Rattus norvegicus: one gene and its partners. The protein of the gene in region 1 interacts with the protein of each later gene in a pairwise test. Links are inferred from orthologs where the notes say so. Each region holds a gene or a part of one and is shown on either strand. Other genes may lie near its edges.

The links.
Region 2: the proteins of Crx (region 1) and Larp4 interact in binary tests that used the Homo sapiens proteins (3 or more experiments, as listed by UniProt). The two-hybrid records come from large-scale screens. The link is inferred for Rattus norvegicus from reciprocal best matches to the Homo sapiens genes CRX and LARP4.
Region 3: the proteins of Crx (region 1) and M1ap interact in binary tests that used the Homo sapiens proteins (3 or more experiments, as listed by UniProt). The two-hybrid records come from large-scale screens. The link is inferred for Rattus norvegicus from reciprocal best matches to the Homo sapiens genes CRX and M1AP.

What each region holds. Positions count from the first base shown.
Region 1 is NC_086019.1:85,678,969-85,683,412, forward strand, and holds the start of Crx (cone-rod homeobox protein), read right to left. Parts: upstream 2,885-4,444; 5' UTR 2,821-2,884; intron 1-2,820. UniProt on the Homo sapiens protein: Transcription factor that binds and transactivates the sequence 5'-TAATC[CA]-3' which is found upstream of several photoreceptor-specific genes, including the opsin genes.
Region 2 is NC_086025.1:133,010,711-133,014,365, forward strand, and holds part of Larp4 (la-related protein 4), read left to right. Parts: coding exon 1-1; intron 2-1,815; coding exon 1,816-2,028; intron 2,029-2,769; coding exon 2,770-2,873; intron 2,874-3,655. UniProt on the Homo sapiens protein: RNA binding protein that binds to the poly-A tract of mRNA molecules. Associates with the 40S ribosomal subunit and with polysomes. Plays a role in the regulation of mRNA translation.
Region 3 is NC_086022.1:117,090,516-117,092,832, reverse strand, and holds part of M1ap (meiosis 1 arrest protein), read right to left. Parts: intron 879-2,317; coding exon 738-878; intron 1-737. UniProt on the Homo sapiens protein: Required for meiosis I progression during spermatogenesis.

The DNA of each region.
Region 1 (4,444 bases):
ACCAGCAGCACCCTGCTAACAGTCTGCTGACTCCCCCTCCCTCTCTTGTTTTTTTGTTTTGTTTTTTAATTTATTTATTTTATGTATAGGAGTGCACTGCAGCCAGCTGTCTTCAGACACACCAGAAGAGAGCATCAAATCTCATTACAGATGTGATGGCTGGGAATTGAACTCAGGACCTCAAGGAAAGCAGTCAGTGTTCTTAACCACTGGGCCATCTCTCCAGCCCCTCCTTCTCACCCTCTATCTGGGTGTGGAGGCTTGCTCACATATGCCACTCATAGCCTGAGGCAGGAGGATTGATCCAAATTCAAAGCCAACCTGGGATTCATAAGCACACTCTGTCTAACAATGACAATGGGAAGCTTGGGGTATAGGTCAGCTGGTTACAGTACTTGCCTCGAATGTATTAAGCCCCTGGGTTCAATCCCCAATATCACATAAACTGGGTATGGTGGCACACACCGGTAATTCTAAAATTCAGATGATGGAGGCTGGGGGCGGTCAATGACATTCTAGGCTACTTATCATGTTAGAGGCTACCCTGGGATACATGAGCCCTTGTCTCAAAAGTGAGGTGGGGTGGGCATGGTAGAAATGGTTAAGTAGAGAAGAGTGCTAAGTGCAAAAGCATGAGAACCTGTGTTTACATTTGTAGCTACCATGTAAAAAGCCAGACATGGCTTTGTATGCCTGGAACTATAGCCTTAAGAAGGGTAGAAACAGGTGGGTCTCAAGAGCTAGCTATGCAGCCAGCCTTGTCAAAATGCCCTGTGCCTAGTTCACTGAGAGACCTTGTCTCAAAGCAATAAGGCAGAGGAGGAATAGAAGAAAAAACGTTGATGTTATCCTCTGGCCTCCAAATATGCAGGCATATTCAAATAGATACACACACTTCCATGCATATATTACACACATACACATACACACACACGAGAAGAAACAGTAACATGAGTCTCACACCTGTAATCCTAGGACTCTGTAGGTAGAAGTAGAAGGATCAAAAGTTCAAGGTCATCCTCAGCTATATAGCAAATCCAAGGCCAGCATGTGCTATAAAAGACTGTGACAAGAGAGAGAGAGAGAGAGAGAGAGAGAGAGAGAGAAATATGCAGCAGTAATATCGAACTTTGGTGTTCCTAGGATTTTTTTTTTTACTTTCATTGTGTTAGTGTTTTGTTTAATATTATGTGTATGGGTGTTTTGTCTGCATGTATTTCTATGAACACAAACACACCTGGTACCATCAGAAGAAGCCAGAAAAGTACCCTGGAACTGTAATTACAAACAGCTGTGAGCCACCATGTAGGTGCTTGGAATCAAAACCCCAATCCTCCTGAAGAGCAGCCAGTACTCGTAACCACTGAGCCATCCAACTCCCCATATTTTTTTTTAAGACAAGGTCTCCCTTTGATATAAAGTTTATGAAGTCCTAGCTAACCTAAAACTTACTCTGTAGATCAGGCTGACCTCAAGCTGACAGATCTGCTTGCCTCTACCTCCTGAATGCTAGGATTGAAGGCATACACCACTATGCCCTGCCACATGTCTCTATAATTTCATTTGGATGACCACAGGCCCTAGAAAAGTTTCTACAGTCATTGAGGCAAAAAAATTAGTAATATTGGTGTTTCCCTTCAAAACTCAACATCTATAACTTGAGTTCTTAGAAACATTAGCCCTGCTCTCAACTTTAGAGAAAGAATTCCAGTTTACTATGTTGAGCTGGCATTGAACAGAAATTAGCCACATTGGCCTCAACAGGATATATAATGTATATATTATATAATATATAATATATATATATATATATATATATATATATATATATATATATATCCTTACAAACAGAGAAGAAAAATCCCAAAGAGTTAAAGACAATACAAGTGGGAGTAGTGGTGTACAAAGATCAGGAGTTCAGGACCAGCCTCTATTACAGAACAAGTTCAAGACCACCCGATGCTCCATAAGACTTCCTCTCAATAAATAAATAAATAAAATTTAAAAGGTTGCGGGGGAGTGGGGAGATGGCTTAGTACATAAAGCACCTTCTGTGCATATGTAAGGATCTGAGTTCAGATCCCCAGCATCCAGATAAAAGCTGGGCACACTATAACCCCAGCGCTGGGGAAACAGGGACAAACAGATACACAGGGCTCACTGTCCAGCCAGCCTCAGCTCAGAAGGGAGATCCAAGTTCAGTAAAAGACATTGTCTGAGATAGGCTGAGTGTGGTGGTGAACACCTTTAACCTTAAGTACTTGGATGGCAGGGTCAGGAAGATCCATCAGATCAAGGCCAGCCTGGTCTACATAGAGAGTTCTAGGAAAAAATAGCAAACGGGAAGTATTTAGGAAGACACCCAATATGTCTATCTCTGTCCTCCACAGATGCTCTCTTACATGGACGCACACACTTACACACGCTGTACACATACATACATATACACATACATACATACATACATACATACATACATACATACACACACAAACATACAAACATGCTCACATACACGGATGTGTGCATTCCACCTCTGAACTCCCTCCAACCATGGTCCTAAGTGGCCTGTTTCCCTGAACACCTGCTGGAATCTCTACCCTACCTTAATTTATTCAGAAAGCATCACAGATCCATCTTTGTGTCAAACTATACCAAGCCCAGAAAACATGGACGAGTGAGAATAAAATCTCCTCTCTCTCGCTCTCTCGCTCTCTCGCTCTCTTGCTCTCTCTCGCTCTCTCGTTCTCACTCTCTCTCCCCCACCCACCCCCTCTCTCTCTCTTCCTGGTCCACTCAGCCTCTCCTGCAAAGACTCACCTTTGGAAAGAAGAAATGGGGGCTCTCCTGGATGCCCAGGTCCTGGATGGTGTCATCAGACAGCAGAGGCTAGAGGAAATAGGTCCCCTCACATGGGGTGACTTTAAGCCTGAGCTGAGAGTGATGTCATCTATTGTGGCCTGGATCTCGAAGGGTAATCCCAGGGAAGGTGGGGGACCGACTGGGCAACAGGAGGTGACATTGGCTGGGGGAAGGGCACCGTCTGCTTAATCCACCGCCACCACCCCCACAGTGACATCTTGGCAATTAGGGTTGATGAGGAAGGGAGGGAAGGAAGGCCCAACTCCTGCCGGCAACCAGGAGTCCCCACTCCTGGGGAAGTCTTTCCTTAGGTCTAACTGGTGTCCCTCCAGCATCAGCTATTATCTGGAAAGAAATGTCTTCAAAAGCACCGAGAAATGTGTACAGTGCTCCTGAGAGACTGGGAAGAGAAAGGCACAGGGCTTTCCGGGTTGTTCTTTGTGGCCCACGCTAGCGTTGAACTTGTAAATCTCCTGACACAGCCAGAATAACTGGGAAGAGATCTGTACTCTGGATGAGTGAACTAGTTCACATGTGTAGTTCCTGATGGTTCTCCTTCTTTTGACCTCAGGCTCTCTTTCTCTGTGTTCTCCATCTCTCTCCCTCCTTCCTCCCCTCCCTCAGTTTCCAACTCCATCTCTCTATATCTCTGCAGTCTCTCCACTGCTCTCTTTGTATCTTCTCAATTGCCTCTAATCTCTGCCTCTGTATCTTCATCACTAGCTCAGACCCTGTCTCTCAGAGTTTCTTTGTGTCTCTGTCTATGCCTCTCCCTGGGTTTCTATGTCTCTGTTAGACTCTCTGTCTCTAAATCTCTCTCTGGCTGTCTCTGTCAATCTCCACCTGTGTCTCTGCTAGACTCTAATCCTTGTCTCTGGCTGTCTCTCTGAAACTCTGCTTCTGGTTCTTGTCCTCCCTGTCTCTCTTCCTCTCTTTTTATCTCTGAGTGTTTCTGTGTGTCTGACTCTGTCTCTCTGTGTCTATTTTGTTTAGATTTGGGTTTTGTTGTTGTTGTTTTGCTTTTTTTTTTTTTCCGGAGCTGGGGACCGAACCCAGGGCCTTGCGCTTGCTAGGCAAGTGCTCTACCACTGAGCTAAATCCCCAGCCCCGATTTATTTACTTTTTATATATGAGTACATTGTAGCTGTCTTCAGACACCAGAAGAGGGCATCAGATCCCATTACAGATGGTTGTGAGCCACCATGTGGTTGCTGGGATTTGAACTCAGGACCTCTGGAAGAGCAGTCAGTGCTCTTAACCACTGAGCCATCTCTCCAGCCCGTTGTTTTGCTTTTTATTGGATATTTTTTATTTACATTTCAAATGTTATTCCCTCTCTCGGTTTCCCATCCATAAGCCCTCTATCCCATCTCCCTCCCCTTCTTGTGTAAGGGTGTTCCTTCTCCCCAATCACCTCCCCTTCCTGCCTCCCCACTCTGACATTCCTCTACACTCAGGGGATCCAGCTTTGGCAGGACCAAGGGCTTCTCCTCCCATTGGTGCCCAACAAGGCCATCCTCTGCTATATATGCAGCTGGAACGATGGGTATGGGGTACAGAGCTAAACAAAGAATTCTCAGCT
Region 2 (3,655 bases), on another chromosome or scaffold:
GGTAAGAAACATTTAAACGCATGCTAGTCTTTCTGGTGGGGGTGATTGTTGTTGGGCTTTTGTTATTGTCCTGTTTCTCTTAGAAGAGTTAAGATACAAGAGCAGGTGTCTTATAAACCTGTCGGAATTTTAAAGCATTTTCTGATTGTCCTACTTCAGAAAATTAATGCACAGAACATGAAAATATTTTGAATACAGAAGTTCTTTACACGGAAACAAAGTTTTAAAAGTGATTCACAGCCTATAATTTCGGATCTCAAAATGTGTAGTAGGAATACTTCTTTAGTGGTGATAAAGACCACTTTGATTTTTCATCCCTGTCTCAGTTGTTGTCCATTTGAGAAGGAATCGCATCAGTAGTACTTCGTGTGCTTACATTTATTTACTTTGTTGTCAGATTTCACGAAATTTGCCTTCCTACTTCTTCCCATCGTTATTCATGGTTTAGATTTGAGCAGATGGTGCAGCCTCATAACCACTGTGATCTCCTGACTCCTCCTTCCTTGTCTCTCACTGCGCATCCTTGCAGTGTAGCACTGCACACACACAAACTAGTTCTTATGAGCAAAGGCAGTCAAGGGGTCACAGCTCCTGTTTGTAACCTCACCGTTGTTCTGGAGGCTGAGTGAGAGAAACAGGCGTTTCAGGTTAGTTATATAGGTAGCTTGAGTTATATATAGTGAGTTTAAGGCAAGACTGGGTGCTTTGGAAAGACCACCTAATGAGACACCTGAGGCTCTTTCCTCCACTTTGCCTACTGAAGAAAATGGCAGTAACCAGCCAAGTTGTGCACGACTGGTGAGTATGTAAAACAGTCAGGATGCAAGTAGCTGGCACTTAAGAGAACTGTAACAGGTACTACTGGAAGAAGAACTTCACATTTAAATCTGTAGTTCCTATGGGGCAGATGATAGTATGAGTTTCCATATTCCAGATGAGTTTCATTTGCTAGTAGTCATCCATCTACCTTTGGTCTTTGTCTTTTGTTTTAAATACTATTCCCTCTGAGACTATGGAGATTCTGTTTCCTTTCTCCTACTGACTTAAAGCTTTATATTTAGGTGTTTGATAAAACATGACTAATTTTGATACACGTGCGCACACATACACGAACGTGTCTGCTTGTTGATGGAGTCGGCCACAGGTCAGAGATGTCCTGGGGGTCTTGTCCTTCTTCCTCCATCTCTGCTTCCTGTGTAACAGCTTTATTGTCCTATTTCATAGTGACTTCTTCCGTATCTTTTTATGAACCAAATAAAGTGGATAGCAGGGGTTTTTTTATTTTTAGTTAAACTTCAAGTTTTTCTTTAGGATTTACTTTTTTTTTTTTCCTTTTTTTTTCCTTTTTTCTTTTTTCTTTTTTTCGGAGCCGGGGACCGAAAGGATTTACTTTTATTATTGACTACAATAATAAAATTTATAGGTGAGTGTGTCTGCATGTGAGTATTTGAGTGTGAGTATAGGTGCCAGCAGAGTAGCAGAGTCCAGGGCACCTGTCTGTTGTTCGCTGTTTCCTATAACCTAATGCCCTCCAGTTTCATGTTATTACAGGTGCTACGATCTCCCTTTGCAGATCTAGAGACCTGAAGAGGAGCAGGATCTTTCTTAACCATTGATCCAACCCAAATTCTCTTATTTTTACTTTGTTTATTGTGGCTCTTCTCATGTCTACACTTTTCTACTGATTAAAGTTATTGTTTTCTTTTGCTCAGTTGATTCTAAGTAGAAATCATAAGATAATATAAAAAAAAAGTTGAATATATTTATTGCAAAATATACTTCATAGTTTATTATTTGTCTTCTTCCTGCTTTTAGGCAAGGATAAAAGCCATCAATACATTTTTTGCTAAGAATGGTTATCGATTAATGGATTCTAGTATGTATACTCAACCCATTCAGACTCCAACCCAGTATCCCTCGCCAGTCTTCATGCAGCCAGTGTACAATCCACATCAGCAGTACTCAGTGTATAGTATTGTGCCCCAGTCTTGGTCTCCAAGTCCTGCACCGTACTTTGAAACACCACTGGTAAGTGAGACTTAGAAAATAATAGAATATTTAGTTCAAGCTACGATTTGAGAAAAAAAATCATCTAAAAGCCAGATGCAGATGTGTTTGCCTGTAATGAGAGCAGCTGCAAGGCAGTGTTAACAGGATCATTAACAGGATCATACAGCAGACTCGTCTGCATAGCAGGTTGCACCACAGCTAGCCAGTTTGTCAACAGAATTTACGCACACAAACAAAACCCAAGAAGTTGGTCTGGTTCATTGATTCTGGATAATTATGACAGCTCTGCACTCAGTATAGACATATTGCTAAGAAGTAGGCTATTAGTGTCTACAATTTGATTCTTTACATTTTGCTAAGCGAATTAAAAAAGAAAATAAATCCTTTGTGATTCATTTATTTATTTATTGAAAGAGAGCCTTACTATGTAGCCCTGACTGTCCTAGAACTCTGTATACCTGGCTTACCTTGAACTCTGAGAGCTGCCTGCCTCTGGAGTGCTGGGACTTAAGGTGTGCTCCAGTGCCGTGTTCCCAGGTGATGGTTACCTAACTCTAGTGCTGTAAGATTCTGTCCTGAGTGTTTTGTCTGTAATGAGTGGTGTGTTGTTACAGTACAGTGAGATGAGCTGTAAGCATTGCAGAAGTGAGAATGCAGAGTTTTCTACTGACTTGTTGACTGTACCTCACTCTGGTTTCTCTCTCAACCCTCTCTGAAATATTTTAACCCTTACCATTAAATATCAACATTTTCTTCTAGGCTCCCTTTCCCAATGGTAGCTTTGTGAATGGCTTTAGTTCACCGGGATCTTATAAAACAAATGCTGCTGCTATGAATATGGGCCGACCATTCCAAAAAAATCGGTAAGATTTAAAAAAAACTAATTGAAATTTATTTTAAACAATTTCCAGTAATTGTTGAGGAATTATTGCATTCTTTTGGGAGACTTGCTATAAGTATTAATTTTTTTTTTTTTTAAGATTTATTTATTTTCTATGAGTACACTGTCGCTCTCTTCAGACTTATTGGAAGAGGGCATCAGGTCCTATTACACATGGTTGTGAGCCACCATGTCATTGCTGGGAATTGAACTCAGGACCTCTGGAAGAGTCTCTTAACCACTGAGCCATTTCTCTACCCACACGTTTGTTAATTTTTACTTTTTAAAAGTGCATGAATTATTCAGTATAGAAGTTTAAAGATGCTTCATGGTCAGAATTAATAATAGATATAAAGGGGTGAGGATTTTAGTGGTTTCTGTCTGGTCTTTTAATTTTTATTTTATTTTGTGAGTACGAGTATTTTGCCTACAGAATGCGTGTGCACCACTTTCATTTCTGTTGCCTGGGTAGTCCAGAAGTTGTTATATCCCCAGAATTGGAGTTACAGGTGATTGTGAACTACTGTGTGTATTCTGAGAGTTGAAAGACAATCAGTACTCTTAACTACTGAGCCATCTTTCCACCCCCAGTTTATTTTTTAATGTGAATTCTGGGGATTAAGTTCAATTCCTCATGCTTAGAAGGCAAGCACTTAACCAACAGAGTTTCCTCTTCAACACATAAAATTTTAAGTACTGATCTTGCAAGTATTTATCTTTAAAAATAAAGGGTCAGGAAGGCTGGAGAGTTGGCTTAGCCCTTGA
Region 3 (2,317 bases), on another chromosome or scaffold:
CCCCACATACACACACACCACACACACATACACCACACACACATACACCACACACACACACACACACTCACCCCACCACACCCCACACAATACAGACACACACCACACCACATATACCCCACACACACCATATACAAATCACATACACACACCCCCCACACCACATACACACATACACCACACACAGACCTACACATACACCACATACACACATATACCACACACAGACCTACACACACCACACACACACCCTATATACACACACATACCACATATACCACATACACAGACACACATACACACCCCACAACACCCCCACATACACACACACCACATACACATACACCACACACATACACACACACACACACACACACACACACACACACACACACACAATCAGGAGGCTGAAGCAGGCAAATGGCAAACTCCGGATCAGTTTGGGCTACACTGCTACACCATGAGACCAGTTGTCTCAGGAAAATAAAAGAACCAAAACCAAAACCAGCAGACCCAGCAGACCCAGCAGACCAGCAGACCCACCCTATCGCGTGTGACTGCCTCAGCAGGTTCTCTCTCCTGCCTCAGCTTGGTTTCCCCTCTACTTGTGGGGTGTGGGGAGTGGGTTGCTCTCTTGGGACCCAGGCTGTTGTGGGGGGTAGATAGGAAGGGATCCCTTGGACTCAAGGCACAAAGGGGATGAGAGGGGAAAGGGAAGGCGGGGACAAGAGAGATACCTTTCTAAGGCCCCGGCCTGCCCAGCTTGTGTAGGGCCGTCCCTGAGGCTTGGCGTGGGCGCTGCTCAGATGTGAGTACAGATGGCTCCCAACTTGCAGAGGGTTGTAGGTGAGCCCCAGCTCCAGGCTGTCTAGTGTGCTCTGGGGACGAGAGGGGGGAATTTATTCAGGGAAGTCAAGGTCACAGAACACGAGATGCCACATAGAGACCTGAGTGTGTGAGAGACTGGAAGAGGGCGAGGACATGGGTGCTGTTGAGGCTGAGACAGATGAGTCCTACTGTTCTGTCCCGGGAGGCAGGGTATGCTTGTGTCAGGCGAAGGGACAGAAGAAAGTGGAACATCTGGTGGTCAGAGACTCTGAACCTCCTAATACTAGCCCCAGGAAATGTCACTGGGTTCTGAGAAAAACCAGAGCTCCCCAGAATGGTACAAGGGACCCAGTGTGGAGGGCTGAGGGAGAGTGTGTGTTCAGGTAGGGGTGCTCTAGTCCTCAAGACAAGTACAGGGAGTTCCCAGCCTGAGGTGAGTCGGGCATGGAAGGAGGACATTTGAACATAGCATTCCTGAGTAGTTAGGTTTTCCGGCCACAACATCCTGTGCCAGGAACCACTGGCCCTGAAGTGAGACTGGCTGAGGAAGCCATGGCGCTCCTGCCCACCTCTTTGCATTCCCATGGCTGCCAAGCATCAAGCACAATCCCAGCCTCTGTCCTGTCCACTCTCAGCCGGCCAGCCAGCAGTGAATGTGGCTTCCATTCTCCCGGTCCAGAGCCTCCTCCTCTCCCACCCCAACCTGGGGGGCCCAGAGGGAGGAAAGACAGAATCTAGACAGAGAGGAGAGCAGGGATGAGGGGTGGAGAAAAGGAGGGTGGCGCTGAGCAAGGCCACCCCTGCCTGTCGGCCTCTTGCGTCTGAAGTTCAGACTTCTTCCATTCCTTCTCCCCAGCAGAGGCCGAGAGCACAGGTATGCACATGTATTAGAGGAGCACAGTGTGACAGCACACAGGGTGGCCCAGCATACAGTGTGTCAGTACGTGCGTTTGTGGGGTCATCTCTAAGACAGATGACACTAATTCTCAGTTATTGGCCCATGTCAAGGCCTGTTTCTCTCTTAACTCTTTTCACAGATTCTCTTCTCGCAAACCAGGATGGCTTCTCAATTCATTTTTTCCCCAATGCCTTAATCAGACCACTGACTTCCTCCCATTTCATTTTCTGCCTTTGCTTTTATCTCTGATGGCCGGAACATACCCGTCTGCTCTCTGCTCCCCTCCCCCTCCCCCACAGCCCTATTTTTCTCCCTTGGCCCTTTCTCAAGCTCCATTCTATTTGTCCCATGGTGCAGTAGTTTAAATGAGATTGATCACCATAGACTCATATTTGCACGCTTAGTCCCCAGTTGTGAATGCTTTGGAAACGTTAGGAGTTGTGGCCTTGTTGGAGGAGGTGTATGACTGGGAGTGGGTGTTGAGGTTTCAAAAGCCCACATCAAGCCCAGTGTCACACTACCTGCTGCCCAAAGATCAGGCTGCAGCTCTCAGCTACTGCTCCAGTGCCATGTGTGTCACCGTGCTTCCCG